Linked DNA regions of Drosophila melanogaster. The protein of the gene in region 4 purifies or fractionates together with the protein of the main gene of each other region. This does not show direct contact. Each region holds a gene or a part of one and is shown on either strand. Other genes may lie near its edges. The genes, in order: Cap-D2, SMC2, glu and Cap-G.

The links.
Region 1: the proteins of Cap-G (region 4) and Cap-D2 purify together in Drosophila melanogaster (affinity purification with western blotting, with the first as the bait; one study listed by BioGRID). This does not show direct contact.
Region 2: the proteins of Cap-G (region 4) and SMC2 purify together in Drosophila melanogaster (affinity purification with western blotting, with the first as the bait; one study listed by BioGRID). This does not show direct contact.
Region 3: the proteins of Cap-G (region 4) and glu purify together in Drosophila melanogaster (affinity purification with western blotting, with the first as the bait; one study listed by BioGRID). This does not show direct contact.

The regions. Positions count from the first base shown.
Region 1 is NT_033777.3:29,673,683-29,680,781, forward strand, and holds Cap-D2 (CAP-D2 condensin subunit), read left to right. Parts: upstream 1-1,968; 5' UTR 1,969-2,047; coding exon 2,048-2,174; intron 2,175-2,251; coding exon 2,252-2,723; intron 2,724-2,783; coding exon 2,784-3,679; intron 3,680-3,739; coding exon 3,740-3,881; intron 3,882-3,936; coding exon 3,937-4,024; intron 4,025-4,078; coding exon 4,079-6,496; 3' UTR 6,497-6,575; downstream 6,576-7,099. Other genes in the region: ppk19 (pickpocket 19), read left to right, coding at 1-1, 51-240, 298-541; Bub3, read right to left, coding at 593-1,381, 1,435-1,626; CG7582 (uncharacterized protein), read right to left, coding at 6,809-7,099.
Region 2 is NT_033778.4:14,848,086-14,854,344, reverse strand, and holds SMC2 (structural maintenance of chromosomes 2), read left to right. Parts: upstream 1-1,691; 5' UTR 1,692-1,790; coding exon 1,791-1,958; intron 1,959-2,017; coding exon 2,018-2,329; intron 2,330-2,391; coding exon 2,392-3,121; intron 3,122-3,177; coding exon 3,178-3,605; intron 3,606-3,662; coding exon 3,663-3,932; intron 3,933-3,988; coding exon 3,989-4,182; intron 4,183-4,235; coding exon 4,236-5,673; 3' UTR 5,674-5,724; downstream 5,725-6,259. Other genes in the region: Ciao1, read left to right, coding at 1-393; Ercc1, read right to left, coding at 543-731, 790-1,380; CG10209 (uncharacterized protein), read left to right, coding at 6,143-6,145.
Region 3 is NT_033779.5:16,733,092-16,740,186, reverse strand, and holds glu (gluon), read left to right. Parts: upstream 1-1,798; 5' UTR 1,799-1,909; coding exon 1,910-3,045; intron 3,046-3,106; coding exon 3,107-3,731; intron 3,732-3,792; coding exon 3,793-4,106; intron 4,107-4,167; coding exon 4,168-5,851; intron 5,852-5,919; coding exon 5,920-6,390; 3' UTR 6,391-6,570; downstream 6,571-7,095. Other genes in the region: ChLD3 (chitin and LDLR binding deacetylase 3), read right to left, coding at 993-1,191; Nubp1 (NUBP iron-sulfur cluster assembly factor 1), read right to left, coding at 6,620-7,095.
Region 4 is NT_033778.4:13,131,217-13,136,148, forward strand, and holds the start of Cap-G (chromosome associated protein G), read left to right. Parts: upstream 1-1,925; 5' UTR 1,926-2,097; coding exon 2,098-2,343; intron 2,344-2,413; coding exon 2,414-2,590; intron 2,591-2,666; coding exon 2,667-3,481; intron 3,482-3,540; coding exon 3,541-4,932. Other genes in the region: CG13326 (uncharacterized protein), read right to left, coding at 1-1,156.

The DNA.
Region 1 (7,099 bases), on a different chromosome or scaffold from region 4:
GGTAATTATCGTAATTATTCTATTACATTTTAAATTTTTTTTTTTTTTAGATGGAGTTCCGGAATGTGGAATCAACGATGCACAATGCTTGGGCAACAATTCCGATATATTCACTTACGTGAAGATGGGTGATCAGGAGAAATACATTAACGACTCACGACAGGGTCACTTTTGTGATTGCCCAGACAATTGCAATTCACGGCTGTACGAAATGTCACTTAATGTGCGCAAATTGGATTAGTAAGTTCAATGTATATATTCTTAAAGAACAGATAATTAAATTCCCCTCTCTTTTAGCCCAAAAAACTCGACAGATCAATTGATAAAAGCCCAGGTTTATTATGGCCAACGTGTCATGACCAAAATCATTACGAAACTCAAGTACACCAATATAGATTTACTGGCCAACTTTGGCGGGATCATAAGTCTGTATATAGGGGCCTCCGTCATGAGTTTTATAGAGCTTTTATTTGTGCTGGGAAAACTGATGTGGGGTTTCATCAGAGATGCGCGCATAAAATTGAAAGAGTATACTAAGTAGCTTACTTTAAAAAATGATGTAAAACTTTGCCGTAAACAAGTATATATAACATTATTTCTGTTTAGTTTCCTGGTCCGTGGGATAGCGTATATAGATAGCCGGATGTGGCACTGTAGCCGGCGTCTCTGGCAGTTGGTCCAAGTAGGAGCAGCCGATGGCCAGGGCGCTGCCATCGGAGCTGAAGTTGAGCGTGGATATGGAGGTATCGTATTCGTGGAACTGACAAAGGCGCTTCTTGTTGAAGCCATCCCAAATGTTCACAATGCCATCGGATCCGCCAGTGGCGAACGTCTGATAGACATTGTGGAAACTCAAGGCATTAACGGGGTAGATCTGTTCGATATTCTGCTCCCTATTCCGGTGGCACTTGAAAGCGAACTTGCGGCGCTGCACCTCAGGATCGTGATCCAGGTACTCCACTGCCACCCGTCCCTCGATGGAGGACATCACGTAGCCTTCTTTGTTGGGGAATAGACGAATGCAGCGGGTCTGGTACTTGAGCGAGGACTCCCGCTTCATGATGTAGCTGTCCATCTTGCGAAGGTCCCAGATGAGCACCTTGCGGTCGGAGGTGGCCACCACGATCTTTTCGTCGATCACGGACATGGAGTACACCTTTCCGTTGTTCTGTTCGAAGGTTCCAACGCAGCGCTTCTCCCGCATGTCCCACAGCTTCACGGTATTGTCCCAGCTACCCGTGAGGATGCCATTGACATACTCGGCGTGCTCCACGCATCTGATGGGCTCCTCGTGGGCACCAATTATGCTTTCCGCCTGGGTGTTGACATCAAAGAGACGCAGCTGGTTGTCCAGGGAGCCACTGACCACGTGCACTATGTCCTGCGGATCGTTGGTTGAATAGGGGATTGTTAATGTGTACGAAGGAGTCTCACCATGAAGGCACAGTCGAGAAGAGGGGCATCCTGCACGAATTTCTGACGCAGCTGGTTTGCCGGCACATCATAGAATCTAAGTGTTCCGTCCCAAGAAGACGCCGCCATGTATTGATTCGATTTGGGGCCGAATTTCACAGCGGAGATCAGGTCCTCCGGCGGATTGTTAAGCTTGAACTCTGGGGGACGCATTTTGTCAAGTTTTCTGCTAGCAACTTGTGGATAATAAAACAATAAATTCAAACAGAAACTGCTTAAAACAAATCAAACTCCGAATTTGCACGGCGTCTGGAGAAGAGATGCGAGTATTTCGATATCACTATCGATACATTGCATATTTGCATCAAGGGGACTCCCTAAACAGGTACACTTTTAATAATGTAAAAAATTTTACAAACCCCTGTTAAACCAATATAAATTTAGTTTTTGTGGTAAGTATCTATCTGATAAATACACCCTCTCATTATGAGCATTGTAAGCTTGCAGTCAGCAGTAACCGATAACCGATATCAAGCGATCGATTTGGCGGCGAATCTGCCCATCTCTATAAGCGACGCCACTCAATTCAGAAGATACAATTATTATTTCGCGGTAAATAGGAGTAATAACCGCCATGGAGGAATCGCACGACTTCCAGTTCGTCCTTCCCCTGAATGCATCTGATCTGATCAACTCCAGCGGAGATCAGTATTACGTGAAGGAGATTTTTGGCGCCCAGGAGATTCCCGCGAAACTACAAGGTAAGTTTCCGTTTTCGCGGTTGGTTTTTAAATTGAGTACAGTTTTCGGACGCGCAATCTTCATGTTTCCTTCCCAGAATGCAAGCGCAAAGTGCACTTGGGCGATCCTTTTTATATATTCGAGCACTTCGACTTGTATTACTCGATCATCGAGGCCCGCGGTTCAGATGGCGCCTCTGCACAGAATCTAATGAGGTCCTTTGACCTGCTCTACCTGACCGTGGAGAAACTGTTCCAAGACTTGCAGCCCCTGCTGACGGCCAGTGAGCCCATGTCTAACCAGCAGCGCAATAGTTACCTCAACCTGACCAAAATGACGCTGTTCCTCCAGGTGAGCACCGTCAAGAAGATCAACAACAGTGTCCAGCAGGCCATGCGGGATCAGCAGCTCAATGTTCAGAAGAAGCGTGCCAAGCCATCGGAGGGATTGGAGCAGTTTCCCAACTGGGAGGTTAAGCGCGGCAAGTTCTTGGTGCAGCTCTTCAACGTGCTGCAGTGCCCGCTGGAGAAGCTCTGGAGTCCGCCCGTAGCCGAGGAGGACTTTATAAAGTAAGAGCAAAGCATTTAGCATCCTATTTCTTCGATCTGCAATGTATCCATCTTCCCCAGTTTGCTCTGCGACCCCTGCTATCGAACAATCGAACTTTTGCCGCTTCGCATGGACAACAAACACGTATTCGACACGATCTTCCAGATCTTGGGCACATCGATCAAGCGCTTTAACCAGGCCATGACCTTCCCGGTGCGCATTCTGCAGATCCTACGCGGTACCGAGCATGCAGCCCATTCAGTAGCAGCTGGAATTTTGCTTCTGCACGAGGAGTACGGAATTTCTTCGGTCTTCTCCATTCTAATCAAGAGCATTGTGGATGCTCTAAGGATGGACAGTTCTGACTCTTCGGTGTCCAAACACTTCTCCAATTTCCTGGCCGAGTTCTCGAACATAGCACCTTCGCTGATCGTACCGCACCTGGAAAAGCTGGCGGAAGATTTACTAGATTGTCAGTCTCACACGCTGCGAAATTGTGTGCTCCAGATCATCGGCGACACCGTGGTTAGCGAACTGACCTCGGAGGATCTTAGCGAAGAACTGAAGGAAGTACGCAATGAGTTCCTCGAGCACCTAATGGCCCACATCCTAGACATTTCTGCACACGTGCGCTCCAAGGTGCTCAGTATCTGGCATCACCTGAAAACCCAGCACGCCATTCCGCTTAACTTCCTGACCAGAGTGCTGGAGGAAGCCATCGGAAGGTTGGAAGACAAGAGCTCGCTGGTGCGGCGTGCCGCCATGCATCTGATCAAATCCGCCCTGGAAAGCAATCCATACAGCAGTAAGCTTTCCATAGATGAACTCCGTGCCAAGCATGAACACGAGGTGCAGGCAATGGAGAAACTTAATGAGGTACTCGAGGAAGAGCGCAAGCAGGAGGAGAAGCTCAACGACGAGTTTAGCAGCTTGGCGCCCGAACTGCTGCCTTTCATAGAGGAGAACCTTACGGAGTGTGAGTTCATGCAGTTCCGCTAGTTCGACGTATATATTAAAGTTTATTGTTATATTACAGTTCCCGATATGCAGTTCGACAAGGAGGAGAGCGACGAGACCTTGATGGAGCGGATCATTCCGCTGATGCGCGAAAAGAACTACAAGGATGTTATTGTTCTAGTGCGAAAGGTAGACTTTTTGGCGGGAAATCAGAATATGAGGTATGTTGCTAATCAAAGATGGTTTTGTTTTACCATAAATATATTTACTTTCCAGTTCCTTACTGAAGCACGAGGAGCATTGCGTGTATGTGCTGGCCTTGCTAAAGACATATCACCTGCTGGCTGCTGGATTTAAACAGAGCGTATGTTTAATCTTAGAAAGTTATATTCCCTTCTAACCAAATCTTTTAATTTAGAGCGAGGAAATGCTGCAGCAAATCAAAACGGTGCAGTTCCTAAAAGACAGCATTGACTTTGCCGTCTTGATGACTTCAGCCTTCCCCAAACTGCACGAGATGCTCATGTCCAAGACAAACACGGATGTTTTTGAGGCGGTGGACTTGTTCACCACCGGGTACATGTTCGGAATTCACGGCACGGAGTCGGGAATGCAGAGAATGCTGCAACTGGTCTGGTCTTCGGACAAGGAGAAACGAGATGCAGTGTCGGATGCCTACAAGCGCGTTCTGTTCTCCACGGACCAAACGGGTCGCGCTCATGCCATTAAGGTGGTGCAGAACCTGTCGAAGTTTCTTTCGGAAATCGAGTATGGTCACTACACGGCCTTGGAGTCGCTGATGACCGAGTGGGTGTTGGGTGGCGACATCGATGCTGCTGTCATCCAGGTGCTCTTTGAGCGCTTCACGCTAAAACTGGAGGGCACTACATCCAACGAATCTCGCCTGTCGCTCCAGCTCCTGATAATGGCCTCGCAATCGAAGTCTAGTATTGTTTCGGCCAACACTGCCATCATCGAGGATATCGCCGTCGGAGAGCGGGTGCGTCGGGATCCACGGATATTTACCTCCTGTCTGCAGCTGCTGGTCAACTCAATCGATGCAAACAACACTGCCAAGTATTATAAGCGTCAGAACAGCGATGCAGAATTCGTGGGAAAGATCACGCGGCTCTTCCTCGACTTCTTTTTCCACAGAAGTCTATACGACTTCGACGCACTGGCCATGAGTGTTTTTGAATACTTCTATAGGATGTGCCAGGCGCCGGATGTGATTGCGCAGCAACTGGTGACGGCTTTACTCAAGCAATTCAATGAGAGCTGGCTGGTCAAGGAAGCGGCTGCAATAGTTCCCTCTCCAGACAAAGCGGATACGGAAACTGTTCCGGACTCGCAGCCCTTGGAGATTCCGCATTCGCAGACCCTTACTCCCACTCAGACTCAAGCTGATAGCCAATCGCAGATGCAAGGCACCTTGATTCCCGTGTATCTCGTCTCCCGCTTAATCTTTTGCATCGGCTACATGACCATCAAGGAGATGATCTTTCTCGACATGGATATCTATAATAACATGAAGTATCGCGACGAGCTGACGGCTCTTGAAGAGCGTAAAAACCGCAATCAGCAGGCGGGAAGTTCACATAATGCGGCCAGACTTACGCTTAATATGTCAGCGATGGAGGTGCGCAAGAGGCTGTCCGGAGTGGCAGCGGAACCACAGCAGGAGCCAGACGACGATCTGGTGGGAGCGACTGCAGAGGACAACATCGCCGAGGAAATCCACGGCATCTGCGAGGACATGCTGCTTTACAACCCGGATGCTCTGCTCTCCAAGCTGGCGCCATTTATCATAGAGATTTGCAAGCGTCCAGGTGAGTTTGGTGATCCCACGTTGCAACAGGCCGCTACTTTGGCTCTGGCCCGGCTCATGACCGTCTCCTCCCGTTTCTGCGAGTCCAACATGAGCTTTTTGATGAACATCCTCAACCTAACGAAGAACATTCGAATCAAGTGCAACACGGTGGTGGGGCTGTCGGATCTCACTTTCCGTTTCCCAAACATCATCGAGCCGTGGACGGGGCACTTCTACGCTCAGCTGCACGAATCGAACACCGAGTTAAGGCTAACTGCCGTCAAAATGCTATCTCATCTGATCCTCAACGAGATGATACGCGTCAAGGGTCAAATCGCCGACATGGCACTTTGCATTGTGGACGGCAACGAGGAGATTCGCAATATCACCAAGCAGTTCTTCAAGGAGATAGCCAACAAGTCGAACATTCTGTACAACGTCCTGCCAGATATCATCTCCCGTTTGGGGGACATAAACCTCAACCTGGATGAGGACAAGTACCGCATTATCATGTCCTATATCCTGGGTCTCATCCAGAAGGATCGCCAGATTGAGACGCTAGTGGAGAAGCTGTGTCTGCGCTTCCCGGTAACGCGGGTGGAGCGTCAATGGCGCGACATCGCCTACTGCCTCGGCCTGCTCACCTACAACGAGCGAGCTGTGAAGAAGCTAATGGACAATATGCAGCACTACAGGGACAAGGTCCAGGTGGACGAGGTTTATCAGTCCTTCAAGCTCATCATTAGCAACACCAACAAGTTGGCCAAGCCGGAGCTCAAAGCTGTAGTCACCGAGTTCGAGAACCGACTGAACGAGTGCCTGCAAGTCAACCCGGATACCGCTGCCCAGGGTGATCAAGAAAGCACTCCAGAAGGTCAGGGCAACAGAACCAGAGCGGCGCCAAGGACAAAGAAGGGTGGTCGCAAGCCGGCGGCCAACAGGAACAATACTGTGCGAGGACGCGGAAGACGTGCTCGCCGGGATTCCACCTCAGAAGAGAGCTTCAGTTCCAGCAGCAGCGACTAGTTCGTGCTCCATCTTAAGTTACGATCTGAGCGGGTTTTTAATGATGTACAAAGATGGTTTTTAATAAAATAGTTAATAGAACCTATTATTGATATATTTATTACTTTGAAGTCAACAAACATCTAGTAAACTACTAAGATCCGTTTCCACATCCATCAGAAAGGGAACAAATATTTGGTTGCACTAAGCTACTGGGATGGGGAAACCAACACACGTAAATGGCAATACTCTAGACGCTTTGGAAGTACTAAGTTTGGTGGTTGCGTTCATGTTGTCTCTGGGCCTCCGACAGATGAGCACTGGGCACTGGCTTCACTTAATTTTCTTGCGAAGGGAGCGCTGGAGGGCAGGACCGTCGTCCGCGGTGCTCAGCGCAATGGCAAACTGGGCGGCGTAGTAGGTGATCATGATCTGGAGGCGGGCGCAGGGCAGGGGCACGCCCACGAACATGGTGACCGCGATCAGGGCGTCGGAGATCACAAACAGAATGGCTCCGATGGCACAGAACACGGCGAGGAAGTTCCTGGAGTCCACGGCGCGGGCCAGCGATCTCCACAGCATTGTGGTGATCAGGAAACAGTAGATGGGCACTCCGATGATGAG
Region 2 (6,259 bases), 1.7 Mb from region 4:
GGCGAGCGCCTGGTTTCCTGTAGCGATGACACCACAATAAAGATTTGGAGGGCCTACCATCCCGGAAATACAGCCGGAGTGGCTACGCCCGACCAGCAAACCGTGTGGAAGTGCGTGTGCACAGTGTCCGGGCAGCACTCGCGGGCTATCTACGACGTGTCCTGGTGCAAGCTTACAGGTCTGATAGCGACTGCCTGTGGCGACGACGGCATTCGTATCTTTAAGGAGAGCAGCGACTCCAAGCCAGACGAACCCACGTTCGAGCAGATAACCGCGGAGGAAGGCGCTCACGATCAGGACGTAAACTCGGTGCAGTGGAATCCTGTGGTGGCCGGGCAACTGATATCATGCAGCGATGATGGCACCATTAAAATTTGGAAAGTGACCGAGTAACATAAGGATTATTGTTTGATATATTTAAGTGGGTAATTCTGGAACTTAATTTTTGTACAGTGTCTGCGTAATAAAAAATTAAAGTATTCAAATGATGGATGAAGTGTGTCATACACGATTATGGGATGCATTACACCTAATATGGATTGCTATTTGCTGAGGAACGGTTCCTGCAACGTTTTGTACAGCTTCTTGGCCTTCCGGGGACCCAGTCCCATCACCTGGGAGAGTCGCTCCTCGCTGGCATTGATTATGTTGCCCAGGTTGCCAAAGGTGTGCAGCAAGGCGGCAGCATCAGTCTTGTTCACCGGCTTGATGTTGGTGAGAGCAGCGAGTAGCTATGGACATTGGGATATTGCATTACAGTGGCGATACTGGCAATGTAAACATGCGTACCTTCTGGTGTGGATTAGACTCCACTCGCTCCATGATCAAATCTGGCGGACGCTTCTCGAACTGTTTGTACGTCTCAATGATTTTGCCCGCCTCCTCAGCGTTCCAGGCCAACATCATTGTCAGGTCGGCTAACAGTGATATCCTGGTCAAGCTCTTGAGGGCATTGTTTGGCTCTGGTGTGTCCACCTGGACCAGTAGCACCCGCAGCTCATACATCTTGCCCAGAGCCTTCAAACGCTGGCAAATGTAGTCGGGATTGAGATTATGGTACTTTAGCGAGAGGTACAGCACGCAGGATGTTCGACCGACCACATAATCGGGCACGATGTCGTCGCGGAATTCCAGCGGGACATTAAGTATGGATTTCAGGATGGGGTTACCGCGCTGTTTGCTGTGAACAAGGACGCAGTGCGGATTTGAAGCCGGCTTGCCGGGTGCGGGTCTGCCGGATCCACTAGGTTCCGTACTATTGCTAGGAGCAGGATTCACTGCTGTGGCCGCTGGGGCATCTACTTTCGGTTGCTTTGCAGCCGTTGGCATTTCCATGGCGCCCAGAACATCGTTAAAGGAATCATCGTCGAAGTCTTCCATTTCGGTATTTAAATAAAACAAACTGAAAAGCTCAAGGTGCGATTAGATTATCAGGTGACGAAGGCACTTAAAAACTAAAATTATTACACCATTTTTTGTAATAAAAGTTCCGGGGGTCATAAGGTAGCTTAATTAAACGTTAAAATAATTGAATGAAGCTATAGATTAGTTAAATTTGTATAGTCATACATAAGTATTTTAGCTGAATTTAATTGGGTTCATAGCATTTTTAAATTGTTGCCTTGTATTGCATTTCGTCACTAGGTGCACTTTTATCGAAAGCATTCCTGCCCTGACATTTCGATATGTATTTCAGATGCCGTGCCACGGTCACACTAATTGCGGCAAATTTTTGACGCGGAATTTAACGAAAAGAACGCCAGGAATTAAAAAAACCGCTTAGCATAAAAATGTATGTTAAGAAACTAGTGCTCGACGGCTTCAAATCCTATGGCCGGCGCACGGAGATAGAAGGATTCGATCCAGAATTTACGGCTATCACGGGTCTAAACGGCTCCGGCAAGTCAAACATCTTGGATAGCATTTGTTTCGTACTGGGAATTAGTAATCTCCAGAATGTGAGTACCAATTGGATATGTCTGGGGCTGGACTTCAACGCTTATCTCTGTGCTACCAGGTGCGCGCTTCGGCTCTACAGGATTTGGTGTACAAGAATGGGCAGGCGGGCATTACCAAGGCCACTGTTACCATTGTGTTTGACAACACAAATCCCGCCCAGTGTCCGCAGGGCTACGAAAAGTGCCGGGAGATCTCTGTGACGCGCCAGGTGGTTGTCGGAGGCAAGAACAAGTTCCTCATCAATGGCAAGCTGGTGCAGAACAAGAAGGTGCAAGACTTCTTCTGCTCCATCCAGCTAAATGTAAACAATCCCAACTTCCTGATCATGCAGGGCAAGATCCAACAAGTGCTAAATATGAAGCCCAAGGAGGTGGGTAGCCAGAAAAACACAACCATAAATAGTTCTCCATCTAACATAGATATTTCCCCAAGGTTCTGTCAATGGTAGAGGAGGCAGCGGGAACCAGTCAGTACAAAACCAAGCGAGATGCCACCAAAACCCTGATTGAAAAAAAGGAGACCAAAGTGCGGGAGACCAAGGTCTTGCTCGACGAGGAGGTGCTGCCAAAGCTGGTTAAGCTGCGCCAAGAACGCTCCGCCTACCAGGAGTATCAGAAAATCTGCCGCGACATAGACTTCCTCATCAGAATTCACATCTCCGCCAAGTATCTCAAGCAATGCGAGACCCTCAAGACGGTGGAGGCTAATGAGCACAAAATCGAGGATCGCATAGCGAACTGCAAGGCCACTCACGCCAAGAACCTCGCAGAGGTCGAGAGCATTGAAAACTCCGTGAAGGAGATGCAGCAACAGATCGATGCAGAGATGGGTGGCTCCATCAAAAATCTCGAAACCCAGCTCAGCGCCAAGCGGGCACTAGAAGCTACCGCTACGGGTAGCTTGAAGGCGGCCCAGGGAACGATTCAGCAAGATGAGAAGAAAATTCGCATGGCATCCAAAAACATTGAGGATGATGAACGAGCCCTGGCAAAAAAAGAAGCGGACATGGCCAAGGTTCAAGGCGAATTTGAAAGCCTCAAGGAGGCAGATGCCAGGGACTCAAAAGCCTATGAGGACGCCCAAAAGAAGCTGGAGGCTGTCTCGCAGGGACTCTCCACCAATGAAAACGGAGAAGCCTCAACACTGCAAGAACAATTGATAGGTATGTCTGTCGGGGATGAAACTAAATCATTTTAATTACCTATATTCCCGCTTTAGTGGCCAAGGAGCAGTTCAGCGAGGCACAGACCACCATTAAGACCTCAGAGATCGAGCTGCGTCATACGCGTGGCGTATTGAAACAGCGTGAGGGTGAGACCCAGACCAACGACGCTGCCTATGTAAAGGATAAGAAGCTGCATGATCAGTTGGTGGTTGAGATTAAGAACTTAGAACGGCAGCTACAAAGTCTCGATTACGAGGGCGGTCATTTCGAGAAGCTAAAGCAGCGACGCAATGATCTGCACATGCGAAAGCGCGATCTGAAACGAGAGCTGGACCGCTGCAATGCCTCCCGCTATGATCTGCAATACCAGGACCCAGAACCAAACTTTGATCGGCGTAAGGTGCGTGGTTTGGTAGGCAAGTTGTTCCAGGTGAAAGACATGCAAAACTCCATGGCTCTAGTCCAGACAGCCGGCGGAAGTGTAAGTTGTTAAATCTGATTTGAAAAGTTATTTCTTTAATCACGAGTTCTATGTTAGTTATATAGCTACGTGACGGACGATGATGTGACTAGCAAGAAGATCTTGCAGAGGGGCAATCTTCAGCGTCGTGTCACTTTGATTCCCATCAACAAGATTCAATCTGGTTCGCTAAACAGAAATGTGGTAGAATACGCTCAAAACAAAGTGGGCGCCGAGAATGTCCAATGGGCCATGTCACTGATTGACTATGACCGCTATTACGAGCCTGTCATGAAGTTTTGCTTTGGCGGAACACTTATCTGCAAGGACCTCATTGTAGCCAAACAAGTGAGTATATATATTTCTTTTTCTGTACATCTTTTAAATGCATTTTTTTTATCTAGATCAGCTACGACCCCCGTATTAATTGTCGTTCTGTGACTTTGGAAGGAGATGTCGTCGATCCCCATGGCACAGTGTCTGGAGGTGCTGCTCCTAAAGGTGCTAACGTTCTAGAAGAATTGCACGCAATTAAGCAAATAGAAAAGGAGTACAGGGAGATCGACTCTGAGATAGCCCAAGTGGAAAAGCAAATTGCGTAGGTGAACCAGTAACTTCTCATTGCCAATACTTACGCCTATCTGTTTTTAGATCCATTGAAAACCAGGCCCTCGCGTTCAACAAAATGAAGGAAAATCTTGACTTGCGACAGCACGAGCTAACCATGTGCGAGAACAGGTTGGCCCAAACAACCTTTCAACAGAATCAGGCTGAAATTGAAGAAATGAGGGAAAGGGTCAAGACCCTAGAGCAGCAAATAATTGACTCCCGTGAAAAGCAGAAGACCTCGCAAGCCAAAATAGTGGATATCGAGGCGAAGTTGGCAGATGCAAAGGGTTATCGCGAGCGAGAGCTGAATGCAGCCACCAACGAGATCAAGGTGACCAAGCAAAGGGCGGAGAAATCTCGTGCGAACTGGAAAAAGCGAGAGCAGGAGTTCGAAACTCTTCAATTGGAAATTACTGAGCTGCAGAAAAGTATCGAAACTGCAAAGAAGCAGCACCAGGAAATGATTGATAACCTCGAAAAGTTTAAGGCCGAGCTAGACGCTCTGAAAGTAAATAGCTCCAGTGCCGCGTCCGAGGTGACGGAGCTCGAACAGGCGATTAAGGAGCAGAAAGATAAACTGAGAGATCAGAACAAGGAGATGCGAAATCAGTTGGTCAAGAAGGAGAAAATGTTGAAGGAAAATCAGGAGATTGAGCTGGAGGTGAAGAAAAAAGAGAACGAACAAAAAAAGATCAGTTCGGATGCCAAAGAGGCAAAGAAACGGATGGAAGCCCTTGAGGCAAAGTATCCGTGGATTCCGGAGGAGAAGAACTGCTTTGGCATGAAGAATACTCGGTACGATTACAGCAAGGAGGACCCCCACGAAGCAGGCAACAAGCTGGCAAAGATGCAGGAGAAAAAGGACAAAATGGAACGCACTCTCAACATGAACGCTATCATGGTGCTGGATCGCGAGGAAGAGAACTTCAAGGAGACCGAGCGCCGGCGAAACATTGTGGCGATGGACAAGGAGAAGATTAAGAAAATCATAGTGAAGATGGACGAAGAAGAGCAGGATCAGCTGAACAAAGCCGCTACCGAGGTGAACACGAACTTCAGTGGGATCTTTAGCTCCCTTTTACCGGGTGCTGAAGCGAAACTCAATCCCGTCCATACCAATGGCTGTCTGACCGGTTTGGAGATTAAAGTCGGCTTCAATGGCATATGGAAGGAGAGTCTCGGTGAACTTTCTGGTGGCCAGAAGTCCTTGGTGGCTCTGTCCCTTGTCCTGGCCATGCTTAAGTTCTCTCCGGCTCCCTTGTACATTTTGGATGAGGTGGACGCTGCCCTGGACATGTCACACACCCAAAACATAGGTAGTATGTTGAAGCAGCACTTCACCAACTCGCAGTTCTTGATTGTGTCTCTCAAGGATGGTCTCTTCAACCACGCCAACGTCCTGTTCCGCACTCTCTTCGAGGAGGGTGTGTCCACCATCACCCGGCAGGTCAGCAGACAGGCGACAACCAACAAACGCTGAAATGGAACTCGTTTACTTTCTTATCACTTAATAAAACTTTAAAAATACCATATAAAACTGTTCTTATCATTTTAATTGTGAATTTTTTCAAGTTTTTTTAATTCGCAAAAAAGGTTGTGTATTACAGCAATATACTTATTTCAAGAGCCATCGGTCAATATACTTATTGCTACATTACTTAAATCAACGAAATAAGTAATTTAACTACAAATTTAATTTTGTAACGGTCGTTTGCGCATCAGCTGATTTCCAACCGGGCGGGCGAAACGTCAAACTGGTGAGACCGTCAAACGCACACACACACATACGCAGCGGACAGAAGAAGAAGAACGAAAGGCAGCAACAGCAATGTTTGAGGGAGTGAAAAATTAAACAAAAGTCCCCGGAATTCAGCAGCAAAAACTCGACGGCGGTTGAAAAACAAAACATCAAGATTTCGAGCCAACGCAGACTGCTTCAAAAGCTCACCATGGTAATTTGCAAGGTTCCAAAAATTACGAATCGTCCGATTCTTTTACCACACACACACACGACTTGTGCGTGTGTGTGTGCGGGGAGCAGCAAAATATTGTAGACACCGCTGGCA
Region 3 (7,095 bases), on a different chromosome or scaffold from region 4:
TTTGATTGGCTCGAGGCCTCAATTAACATTATATTAACCATAATGTGATCTTAGATGATCTTCCGCCGTGATTTAAACGTGATGGAAACAATAGTAAGACAACTAGTCACGAAGTACAGCTGGCACTAAACTAGCACTCAAAATTATGTTGACTTGCCATTTAAAAATATTTTTCCAATTTATATGCACTGGCAAACTTGGAAATGATTATGAATATTGAAAATATTGGATAAATATTGCTAGAATTGAGTGTAAACTATGGAGCACCTTTGAGATAAGTATAGTAAATTGTTGAACTTTTTCAAATCACTTGTGTAATAGGTCTTTCTGAAACTAACGCCAGCTCCACCCACTTGGAAATGCGTCCCAGCCATGTGCCACATTGCGGCGGACGGGTTGAAATGCGTTTGCATCATGGATCGGCAGCAATGGCCCGTAGCCGTGCCGCACCATATCGTAACTCAGGCGGTTGGGCAAGCGACGCGTGTTGGCCAAATGCAAGATGCGATCTCAAGATTGGAGATATGTGCATACATATGTGTGACTATAGTAGATAGACCGACTGACTGACAGTCCGTGTGTGTATATCTCCATCTCCATCTCGATCTCCATCTGAATCTCAATCTGCAGCTCTAGCTGAATGTCTAGCTGGGGCAGCTGGGCATTTGCAGCATTTAGAAAGTAAATTTATCATCTCCGCCGGCCAGAGAGGCCAAGGCAGCGGGTCAGGAAAATTTCAGCAACTGTCATGGGGTTCAATGCACACGCTCTTTTTAGTTTTTTTTTTTTTTTGTTTTGTTTTTTGGGGACGGGTGCGGGCATGTGGACAACCCGACTTGGCCCCACTTGGCTGGTCGTTTCGTGTTATATAACTCCTTCGATTCGATCGACAACTTTCACACCCAATGTGCGCATGCGCGCATGAGCATGCCAAAAACTAAATAAATTCAGTCGTACCCAATCGAAAAGCGAACAAAAGGGGAGAAAATTACCAATGACCAGGGCGTCCAGCGACGACGACATAATCATAAGCGCCACCATCATCCAGATGCACAAACTGGGTAAGCGGTGGGCGTTGGGAATTCGCGCTGTTGGTTGTGGCTTCGAGCGTCGCTGGGCGGAAGCGACGACCTTGACTGTGAAACCCGTTTGGCCATTTGCATTATAGGCATTTTCCCCCGGGCAGAGCATTTTTCAGCCTGCTTTCCACTTTGCCACTCGCGTTTGTGTTTGGCTGCTTGCTTTGAGCGCTTTAATCTTGCGCGCGATCGGAAAACCGAAGGAAAAACCGCCAGTGAAAATGGTTCCGCACCGAGCCAAAGTCGAGTTGTGACTAAAGTCGTGCGAGATGCAGCCAAGGCATTATATATATTTGGGCATTTCTCTGACTTGCGGATAGCGGAGAGAAAGCTCCGCGCAGTGGGTGTCTCGCTTATGTTTTTGGGGAGCGCAGAGCGCGCTGAGTTATTCATAATTTCCAAACTATTACACGGCTTTTTTGGAAATTAAGTAGTTTGCTTGCTTATTATGAAATTCATTTACTTTACGATGAAATAAATGTATTTCATTATTTTGCTAACTTCATCGAAAAAACTACTTAGTTGAGTTTTATTGTGATTTAATTAATAATATTTCATATTATATTTACAAATATCAGTTTCATATATGTTTTAGAATATTTGAAATTTGTTCTTAGCGTCGATGTAACGACTTTTAATTTAAATTCAAACTACAGAGCTGACAACTCGCCTGATTTATTTAACGGCCTTGCCAGTATTTTGCGGGCACATCAAGACGGTCACACTGCTGATAGCGTCCTATTACCATTGGCGCCCGAAAAAGCGATTTTGTAATTCGAGGATTTTTCCTGGATAAATCCACACGGAGAATTTACTGAGAATAGCGCACGATGCAGAAGGCGCGTCCCAGCAAGGGCACGCCCAAGGCAGCTGGCGGAGCCCGGCAGAGCGGCCAGTTTCGCGTACCGCAGCTAACTGCTCAGCAACAATTGCGGGCGCAGCAACAACAGGAGGAGGAGGACGCCGCCGTGGACGCGCTGGATGATGCACTGATCTTCGACGACGAGGAGGGCGGCACCCGGATCGGCGACATATACATACCGCCTCCGGTGCCGCCACATTGCTCCATGGAGAGCACCGGACCGCGCCTGATCATCTCGAAAATTGTAAATCGGAATTTCAAGAGCTATGCGGGCGAAGTGGAATTGGGTCCCTTCCACCAGAGCTTCACTGCCATCATTGGACCCAATGGCAGTGGCAAGAGCAACGTTATCGACTCCATGATGTTTGTGTTTGGTTGCCGCGCCAATCGCATCCGTTGCAAGCGTGTCTCCACCTTGATCCACTCCTCGTCTAGTTATCCCAATTTACGCAGCTGCTCGGTCGCCGTCCACTTCAAGCAGATCGTAGACAAGGGCGACGGCACATGCGAGGACGTGCCCGACTCCAGCATTGTTATCGAACGCACTGCCATGTCGGACAACTCTTCCTACTACCAGATCAACGACAAACGGGCGCAGCTCAAGGATGTGGCTAAGCTGCTTAAGAAGCATCATGTGGATCTGGAGCACAATCGCTTCCTCATTCTGCAGGGCGAAGTGGAGTCCATTGCCATGATGAAGCCAAAAGGGCAGACTGAAAATGAAACTGGAATGTTGGAATACCTGGAGGATATTGTCGGAACACAGCGCTACATTCGCCCACTGCAGCAGATAAACCAACGGGTAGATCAACTCACAGACGACCGAACAGAGAAGCACAACCGCTGCAAGCTGGCCGAGCGCGAGATGAAAGATCTGGAGCAACCGTTCAATGAGGCCGTCGACTATCTGAAGAAGGAGAATGAGCTGGTGCGCACCAAATCCTTCCACATCCAAAAGATCATCAGCATCAAAAAGAGCAAGCTGGAGCAGTACACCCAGGAGCATGAAGCCTGTGCGGAAGAGCTAAAAACCCACGACGAGGGCACTGCTGCCCTGAAACAATCACGAGCCGAAAAGGAAACAATCATCCGAAAGGAAATTGAGTAAGTACCTAGCTTCAACTTCAAACTGAGCTATATATTACATTACATTACGTAATTTCAGAGAATACGAAGCTCTAGTGAAAAAGCGCGAACAGATCAAGAAAAGACTTGTGACTGTTGAGAGTGCCTACACAGAGATCCAGAGCACAATGGAGAACACGAACAAGCAGCGCAAGAAGGACAAAGCCCAGATAGAAAAGAACGAAAAAGAGCTGGAGGATCTGCACAAGTTGCCGGAGAAAAATCAGCGCGAGATCGAGGATTGCAACAAGAAATTGGAGAGCCTGGAAGTAAGTAAGGTGACACTGAATGAGGAGCTTGAAAAGCAGCAGGCCGAGTTAACTAAAACCACTGCACCGCTTACCGAGAAGCGCCTTAAGCTCAGTGACGAACTGGTGGGCCTTAAGGAGAAGGTCAACACGGCTAAAGGAGAGGTTCAAGTGTTCGAGTCGCAGCTCAAGATCCTTAAACAGGCAGAGACCACTGAGTCTAGGAAATATGAAACCCTAAAAAGTTCGTACGAGCAGTCGCAGAAAAGTCTGGAGGAGAAAGTAACAAGGGTGGACGAGCTGAAAGAAAGCATTCCACGGATGAAGACCGAAATTGCCAGCAAGTCCGCGGAAGTGGACAAAATGGTTAAAGAGGAACGCAACCTATCCATGCAGTGCAACAAACTAAGAACAGAGGTATGGTTCATTTATTTACATTCTATACTGTTCTTCTATTTATAAATACCTTTTCCGGCAGATCAATGAAAGATCTAGCGTCATGCAGGCTCAGCGATCCAATAACAAGGTCCTAGACTTCCTCATGCGTATGAAGATGGAGGGAAAGATCCCTGGTATTCTAGGACGCCTGGGTGATTTGGGTGGCATAGATGCCAAGTACGACATTGCTATTTCGACTGCCTGCGGGCGGTTGGACAACATTGTTACGGACAACTATGAGACCGCATCGGCGGCCATTGGCGCTTTAAAGGAGTACAACGTGGGCAGAGCCACCTTTATTACGTTGGACAAGATTGAGCACCATCGTCGTGAGGCCAACTCCAGGATAAATACGTAAGTAATAGTAACAGAATGAATGGAAATGGTTATTAACACCATTCACGTACTATTGCAGACCAGAAAACGTTCCTCGTTTGTACGATCTGGTTAAGGTTGAAGATGACCGCGTACGAACCGCTTTCTATTTCGCCCTACGGAACACACTGGTATGTGACGATCTAGAACAGGGCACCCGCATCGCCTACGGCAGGGAACGCTACCGAGTTGTGACCTTACGTGGTGAGATGATCGAGATGACGGGAACCATGTCTGGTGGCGGCAGTCGTCCTATACGCGGAAAAATGGGCACCCAGGTGCGCACCAAGACGGCAGAATCGGCTGACAGTTCGCAAATATCTCAGAAGGCGTTAGAAGACATGCAGATTCAGGCGGAGGAGTTACAGGCCCGAGTCAATTATTGCCAGGAACAGCAGGGCAGTCTTGAGCGCGAGATTCAAACCCTGAAGAATGGCTTGCAGCGTGACGAGGCGGAGTACAAGCGGCTGGCGGTGAGCATCACTTCTTTGGAACAACAGATGGCCAGCAACCTGAAGCAATGCGAGGCGCAGCGGCAGCGAATGCTCAAGAAAACAACAGACGAAAGGGCAGTCAAGGAGCGGGAGGAGCAAATAGAAGCAGCGAAGCAAGAGCTGGAACAAGCACAATTCGCCGAACAGGCTGTCTCCAGCCAAATCGAAGAGATCCAGAACCAATACGATACCCTTAGAAATGAAAGTGTCAAGCCTGTGGAGGCCAAGATCAAGAAGGTAAATAGCCAGATAGAAAAGCTGGCCGCCAATGTGCGGTCCTTGAATGTGGGCTTGGCCACAGCAGATCGAAATATAACGAAAATCACTGGAAACAATAATAATCTCCGTGAGAATATAAAAGCTGCAGAAGAAAAATTGAAATCGTTGAATGAGGATCGAAATAAGGCTAAGGAAAAGAAGGAGGAGTTGGAAAAGGAAATAGAGGAATCGGAAGCGTCCATCGAGGGCGCCAAATCACAATCCTCCGATATAAAAAAAGAAATAGATGAGATCACCAAGGAGGAGAACAAACGAAATATCGAGCGCATTGAAATAGATACTAAGCTGCAAGCTGCAGCGGGAAAAATGAACAAGGTGAAGAATGACATTCCCGGATGGCAGGCTCAACTGGCGCCTTTGAAGCTCAACGAGATTCCAGGAGAGACTGAACCGCAAGCGCCACTCAAAGAACTCAACGAAGAAGAGCTGGAGGCAGAGACTCTGGAAGCCTTGCAATATAAGCAAACTATGCTGGAGGAAGATCTGAAAACAAAGAAGCCCAACTTGAGTTGCATAAAGGAGTTCAACGAGAAGCGCTTAGTCTACCTCGATCGCGTCCGTGTGCTGGAGGACATCACCTCCAAGCGCAATGAGATGCGCGACAAGTACGAAGAAGTTCGCAAGCGACGGTACAAGGAGTTCATGGATGGCTTTAGCATTATAACAAGAAAACTGAAGGAAATGTACCAGATGATCACACTGGGCGGCGATGCTGAGCTGGAGCTGGTGGACTCCATGGATCCGTTCACCGAGGGCGTAAATTTTACTGTGCGACCGCCAAAGAAAAGCTGGAAATACATCTCGAATCTCTCAGGTGGTGAGAAAACTCTCTCCTCATTGGCACTTGTGTTTGCCCTGCATTATTACAAGCCCTCTCCGCTGTACTTCATGGATGAAATTGATGCGGCGCTGGATTTCAAGAATGTGTCTATAGTGGGTCACTATATCAAGGTAAATACCTCTCTGCTTTCTTGCCTTACATTCACATTTTAAAGCCAATTGTTGTTGTGTTCACTTAGGAACGTACGAAAAACGCTCAGTTCATAATTGTTTCACTTCGTGTCAACATGTTTGAGCTGGCCAACTTCCTGGTGGGCATATACAAGGTCAGCGATTGTACGGACTCCATCACTATGCTGAACTATCCGCCTACGCTGCCCACTCAGTCGCCAGTGGTCGCTAACAGCCAGTACGTGGGTGGAACAATTGAGGGGGATAACACGATAGCTGCCGAGAACCAAGACGATACCCCCACGAAGAAGAGCCAATCGCCGCCGTCAGAGCAAATAGTCCGCTTGATTAGTGAGTTGGGGAGGGATACCACATTTGCGCCGCCCTTGGAAAGTACGGTGAGGGACACAATACTCGCGCAAAATCTGAAACAGGCCGCCACTGAGGTTGCTGCTCAACCGTCAGATGCCACGGGAAGAGTAACCACGGATGTGTCCCTAGCAAGCCCGCCATCTTCCCCAGCCATACTTAATGTTTAACTCCAACCTACTTCAATATTGTAGAATGTTTTCTTATCCTGTAAAGGGGCATGTTGTAAACTGCCTGGTAATCTAATTTCTGGTAAAGACCGAGACGTAATTTGATGACCTCAGGTGAATCGGTATTTCCAATTGGTATTATCCTTTCAATGCTTAATAATAAATGTTACATAAAATTGTACAGGCATCTTTTTTTTTATTTAAAAACTGAGTGGTCTTTAACTTATTCTTAACTAAAGCTGGCCATAATCTTTGAGCAAATTCCTTCCAGCGCCTCAGTGGTGACATTCTTAAACTCAGTTAAATCCTCGCCAGAATCGCAGGCTTTGGATATCTGTTGATCCAGAGGCAGGGAGCCCAACAGCGGGATTCCCATTTCGGCGCACATGGCAGCGGCTCCTCCGGTTTTGGCTGGAAAGATTTCGGAGCTATTTCCACAATGGCCGCAACGGAAACTGCTCATATTCTCGATCACGCCCACAATGGGGATATTTTGCTTTTTACAAAAGTTGATCTCCTTGCGCACGTCCAGCAGAGACACCTCCTGTGGAGTGGTCACCATCACGGCGCGCAGGGACTCCGGGTTGGCGTCGTCTTTCAGGTACGAAACCACAGACAGGTGCTCATCGGAAGTTCCAGGTGGTGTGTCCAGTAGCAGGAGATCCAGATTTCCCCAGTCCACCTCGCTCAGAAACTGCCTGATCA
Region 4 (4,932 bases):
CCTGATAGGCGGCCACAATTCGCCGCAGCGCTTCCGGATGGTGTGACATGCGATGAAGTCCCTGGATGACGTAGGCAGCCGGAGCCGGCTTGTTCTGCATTAAACAGGTGAGGAACATGTCTGCGATTTCGGCCTTGTGCATCCTTGGTAGGAACTGCTCGTACTGAGCCGTCTCAGCGAAAATCGATATGATGGTGCAGCGCATCTCCAGCGGCATGAGGTCCATGTGATTGCGCACCTGCTCGACAACCTGGTCGAAGAGGTTCTGCTCGAAGAACAGCTTGGTCATCTTCTCGGATCGCAGAGCTGTGGCCAGAACCTCGATGACATCGGCAGCCTCCGGCCCTTGTGGACTCTCGCAAAACACCTTGACCAACTGCTCCAGCACGAAGTAGCAACGATGCAGTGCCTCGAAGACGCTATCGTCGCCAGTGTCCGCCAGCAGAGTCTTCAATGTTTTAAGGGCCGCCTTGCGGATCTCCTGGAACTCGTTGGTAACCTCACAGATAATACGATCTACCGGAAAATCCGGCTGTGTTGTGAAATCCAGCATTTGATCTGCACTCTGGACCAGTAGCATCCTATGCAGTGCCTCAATCGAGTTGAACACGGTGTCCGGATTCTCCGAACTTATGAACACCAACTTAAATTTCTCCAGGAATTCGGTGGCCTCGACAATGCCATGTGCCATCTGGGGATCCTTCAGGCACACATTGAGTATATACGTCAAGTACTCGATGCAGAAGTCGTCCACCTCTTTCATGTAGAATCTGCACGCCAGCTCCAGGATCTGATCCGCTTGTTCTGGCTCATAGGTGGACATGTCCGTGTTGTCCAGCAGAGCAGTGAGCAAGTACAGAGCAAAGCGGCGGATCATCGTGTTCTCCGACGCGATGAACAAATCCTTCTCCAGCAACAGCTCCAACAAGCGATGGGCCTTCAGTTCCAGCACATTCACATCCTGGCGGCGGGCAAAGTCCGTTATGTGGCTGAAAATGGTCAGCAGGACACACTCCTCCTTTGAACTCAGGAGGAGCAGCGCCGTATCCAGCTTCTTGATCGGCACACTCACTTCCGTGAAGGATTTCTCCTCGGACTTGGTGCGATCCGGGTAAGTGGACTTCGCCTCATAGACGCGCTTCGAAATTCGCGACATGTTTGAAGAGATTTCGCGACAGTATCTATTTGTATATTTTATATATGAAAATAAACATTTATCAAATGACAATTTCTCTCTAGCTAGCTTTTATTTTAACTATATGATTTTGGTATTACATTAGGCTTTTGTTTTGATTTTAAATTTGCGCCTTCTTCATTTAAGCGCCTGAAAGTATGCAACAATATATATGATTGACTGGTTAATAATTGTGTAAACTCTAATGGTACATCAGTTTTCGGAATTCGGAAAAAGAAGTTCCGAAAATGTGGAAATCTTTATTTACTTATACGTAATCCGTATTTGAGCATCAAAACGTAAAACGTGTCTGAAATTTACCATGAACGTACATTAACATTAACTCTCTCTGGGCAATTTCTTATCTGCCAGCTGTATTTCCTATTGAACAACGGGTATTTTGAAAGATAAATCTCTGTTTTGTAATATCCCCCTTATGTTCTTGAAAACCCACCCTTCGTAAAATCCCAACTGCCGCTTCTAGAAAATGATGAGTAGTGCAAAAAATCGTATACATGATATTAAATATGGCTTCAGATGCTATGATATTTCACAGTCTTTACAAAAAGGTTTAACGCAGCAAATGATGATCTTTATACGTCATTTAAATATCGGAATGTTTGTTGAAACGAAAATGTGTATGTATACATAATTCCGTTAAATTTAAAATGGAGCACAGCAATCGATAGGCAACATTCATTCACATTTATCGATCTTAACACTAGAAACACACTAAAAAATACATACGCATCATTTGAATTTAACAAGCGAACGGGGGTGGAATGAGGAAATAGCAATAACGCGACGCTTGTTTGTTTCGCCATCGTTCGATGCAATTTGAAAACAGTTTTTAAGATTAAACCGTAAAATACGGAAATCTAGTATTGGCTGCGGACCACAAAAAACGGAATAAACTATTCGGAATGGCCAAACCAAAGGCGAAGGCGGGCGAGACGGAAAAACCCAAAACCAAGGCAGCGGGAGGAAAAAAGCGTCTGGCGGCCACCAAAAAGACGAAAAAGGATGGTGAGAAGGAAAACGAGGATCAGAGCGTGGCCACCACCTCAGACACATCCGCGGAACTCATGTACGCGATAATGCGACAAGCCGAGCTCAAGGAATCCCTGCACAAGCGCTACTCAAAGGAGATGCAGCAACTGTACGCAAAGGTGAGTGGCGTCGAAATTATTGTATATCAAATTTGGGATTTCAGGGTCTAACACTGTTCATTATCGACAGATGGGACACGAGTCCTTTCGCAAGGCCTTCATCAACGTGTTGAAAGCCGTCCTAGGGGCTGAGGAGGGCAATGAGAACGCAAACATGGCCCTCAACTTCTGCGCCACTTTCGTCACCAGCTCAGATTCGGATGGTACTGAGCCCATGCTGGCCGAAACCTTTCATTGGCTGCTTACGGTGAGTGTCTACTGTACCTACTGTGCTGACGAATTGTGTTCCTAATGCTAGTGCCTTGTTTTCTCCGCCCCCACAGACCTATTCGAGCAACCCGCACATACGTTATCGCATCTGTTACTTTGTGAATCTTATACTTAAGGAGCTCGGACCCAATGCCGCCTTGGATGACCACCAGTGCGATGATATACTGGAAGCAATGCTGGACCGGGTGAAGGATGTGTCCGCCAGTGTTCGCAAACAGGCCGTGTTGGCCATGCAGCGCCTTCAAAATCCAGACAATCCCAGCGACGTCGTCGTGGGCGCGTACATGTACCATCTCACATCCGATCCCTCGCCCAACGTGCGTCAGTGCATCATCACGTGCATGGGCCGAAATTATATTACCATTCCGCACATCCTGGAGCGTCTTTGGGATGTCGACGAGAAGGTGCGCCGACACACTTACGTCAACATGTGCAACTATCCGGTGCGCTCTTACAAGGTTGCCCAGCGGCTTACCCTGCTGGAGCAGGGACTTAACGATACATCGGCAACCGTGCGCAAAACAGTGATCAACTTCATGCTAAAGACGTGGATTGAATCCTATCAGCAAAACTACGTCGCTCTGATAGCGGCTCTCAAGCTGGACTCGAATGAAGAAGAACTGCTGCGCTTTCGACGCGTGGCCAAGCAAATGCTTAGAGTGATCTTCCAGCAAACGGACATCAAGCAACTCATCGATCAACTGCCGTTAAGCGAAGACTGCGAGCTGCACCGCTGCATCCCACACGATTCAGTAACCGTAGAGCTGTTGTTATATTGGCAGTGTCTTAGCGAATATCTGGAGACGGAAGCGCCCGAAATCGAATCGCTGTTGCCGGAACTTAGTGTCTTCTGCACCTATATGGATAAGTAAGTCACGGAATCTAATCCTTACCGCCAGTTGGTACTAAATGTATTCCGTTTTGTAGATTCTGCCAGTTTCAAAAGCCCGATATGGACAAGTTTGCCCAGGTGGAGTTCCAGAACATGCTCCTCTCGCTGGTGGAGATATTAGAGACCTACGATCTAGGCGACGAGATCGGACGCGGAAATATGCGTCTGCTGATCACCAATCTGCTAAAAGACTGTCTATTGGACCACAAGATCGTGCGCGTGCTGGTGCGCTGCATGGAGCAACTGATCACCGACACTAACGATCGTATACAATATTTTATCGAGATCATATACGAGCTATGCGAACTGAACACCAAGCAGAACGACCTGATTCACGATCGAAGTTTGATCAATAAGTTGCTGGACGACTTGGACACTCCGCTAAAAATGAAGATCTCTTCCCTGAAAGTTAAAATTCTTGAATTGGAAGAACTGGAGGGTAATTATGTGCGCCAGAGGGAGTACATACGGGCGCAGTCCGTAAACGATGAAAAGATCGCTGTCACCGAAGAGTACACCGAGCTAATAAGGCCGCTGCTGGAGAAGCACGGCGTGATTGAAATGCCCACCCGACCGAAGCTCTCCAAGCAAGAGCGCGTGCTGAAGGGTCTCTACATCTCCTACTACATGACCGCCTCGCCGCACGTCCACAAGCTGACGCCAAGTCTTTGCCAGTTGTACAAGGACTTCATTTGCCGTTACCTACCGTGCGCCGAAGTAGACATCTTTGAGTGGTCCATTAAATGCGGCACCACCTTTAGCATTTTCTACGAGGCCTACAGCAGAGAGGTCTTCGAGGTAGTGGTGGTGCAGTTTTGCAAAAACAATAACGTCCGTCTGTGCGAAGCGTCGGCCAATTGCATTTTAGAGCTATTGGATCGCTATGGAGTGGATTACTTCAACGATCTTAACCAGACCGGAGGTTCACTGTCAAAGACGAAGCGGCGACAACTGTACACGATGCAGGAGCTATACGATGACGACGATGGCAGCCAGTCGCAGAACAACGAGCAGAATAGTGACATCCTCGTGGTACTGGGCCACTATTTGGAGCGAGTGCAGCACAGAGGTGTAGGGATGGCAATCGTTCGCGGCCTCTGTCGCTTAGTGCTCCGTGGCCACGTCGACGATCGCACGGATGTGCTGGAGCTACTGCTCAAGCGGTACTTTAACCCAAACACCGAGCCTATTATCAACCAGGTGCTGGGCTTATTCTTCGAAGAGCTGAGACGCCTGAACAAGCATAGTCTCCTACAGCCGTGCTTCCTACCCACCGTTTGGACCTGCAACTATGACTCGCCGCTTCACGGCGTCCAACCTGAACACTTGACCAAGTTCTTCCTCGAAATGACAGTGCAGGAGATGAGCACGCCACAAACGAATATCCACAACAAAATAGCGATAAGTTTTCTGCAATACATTCAGAA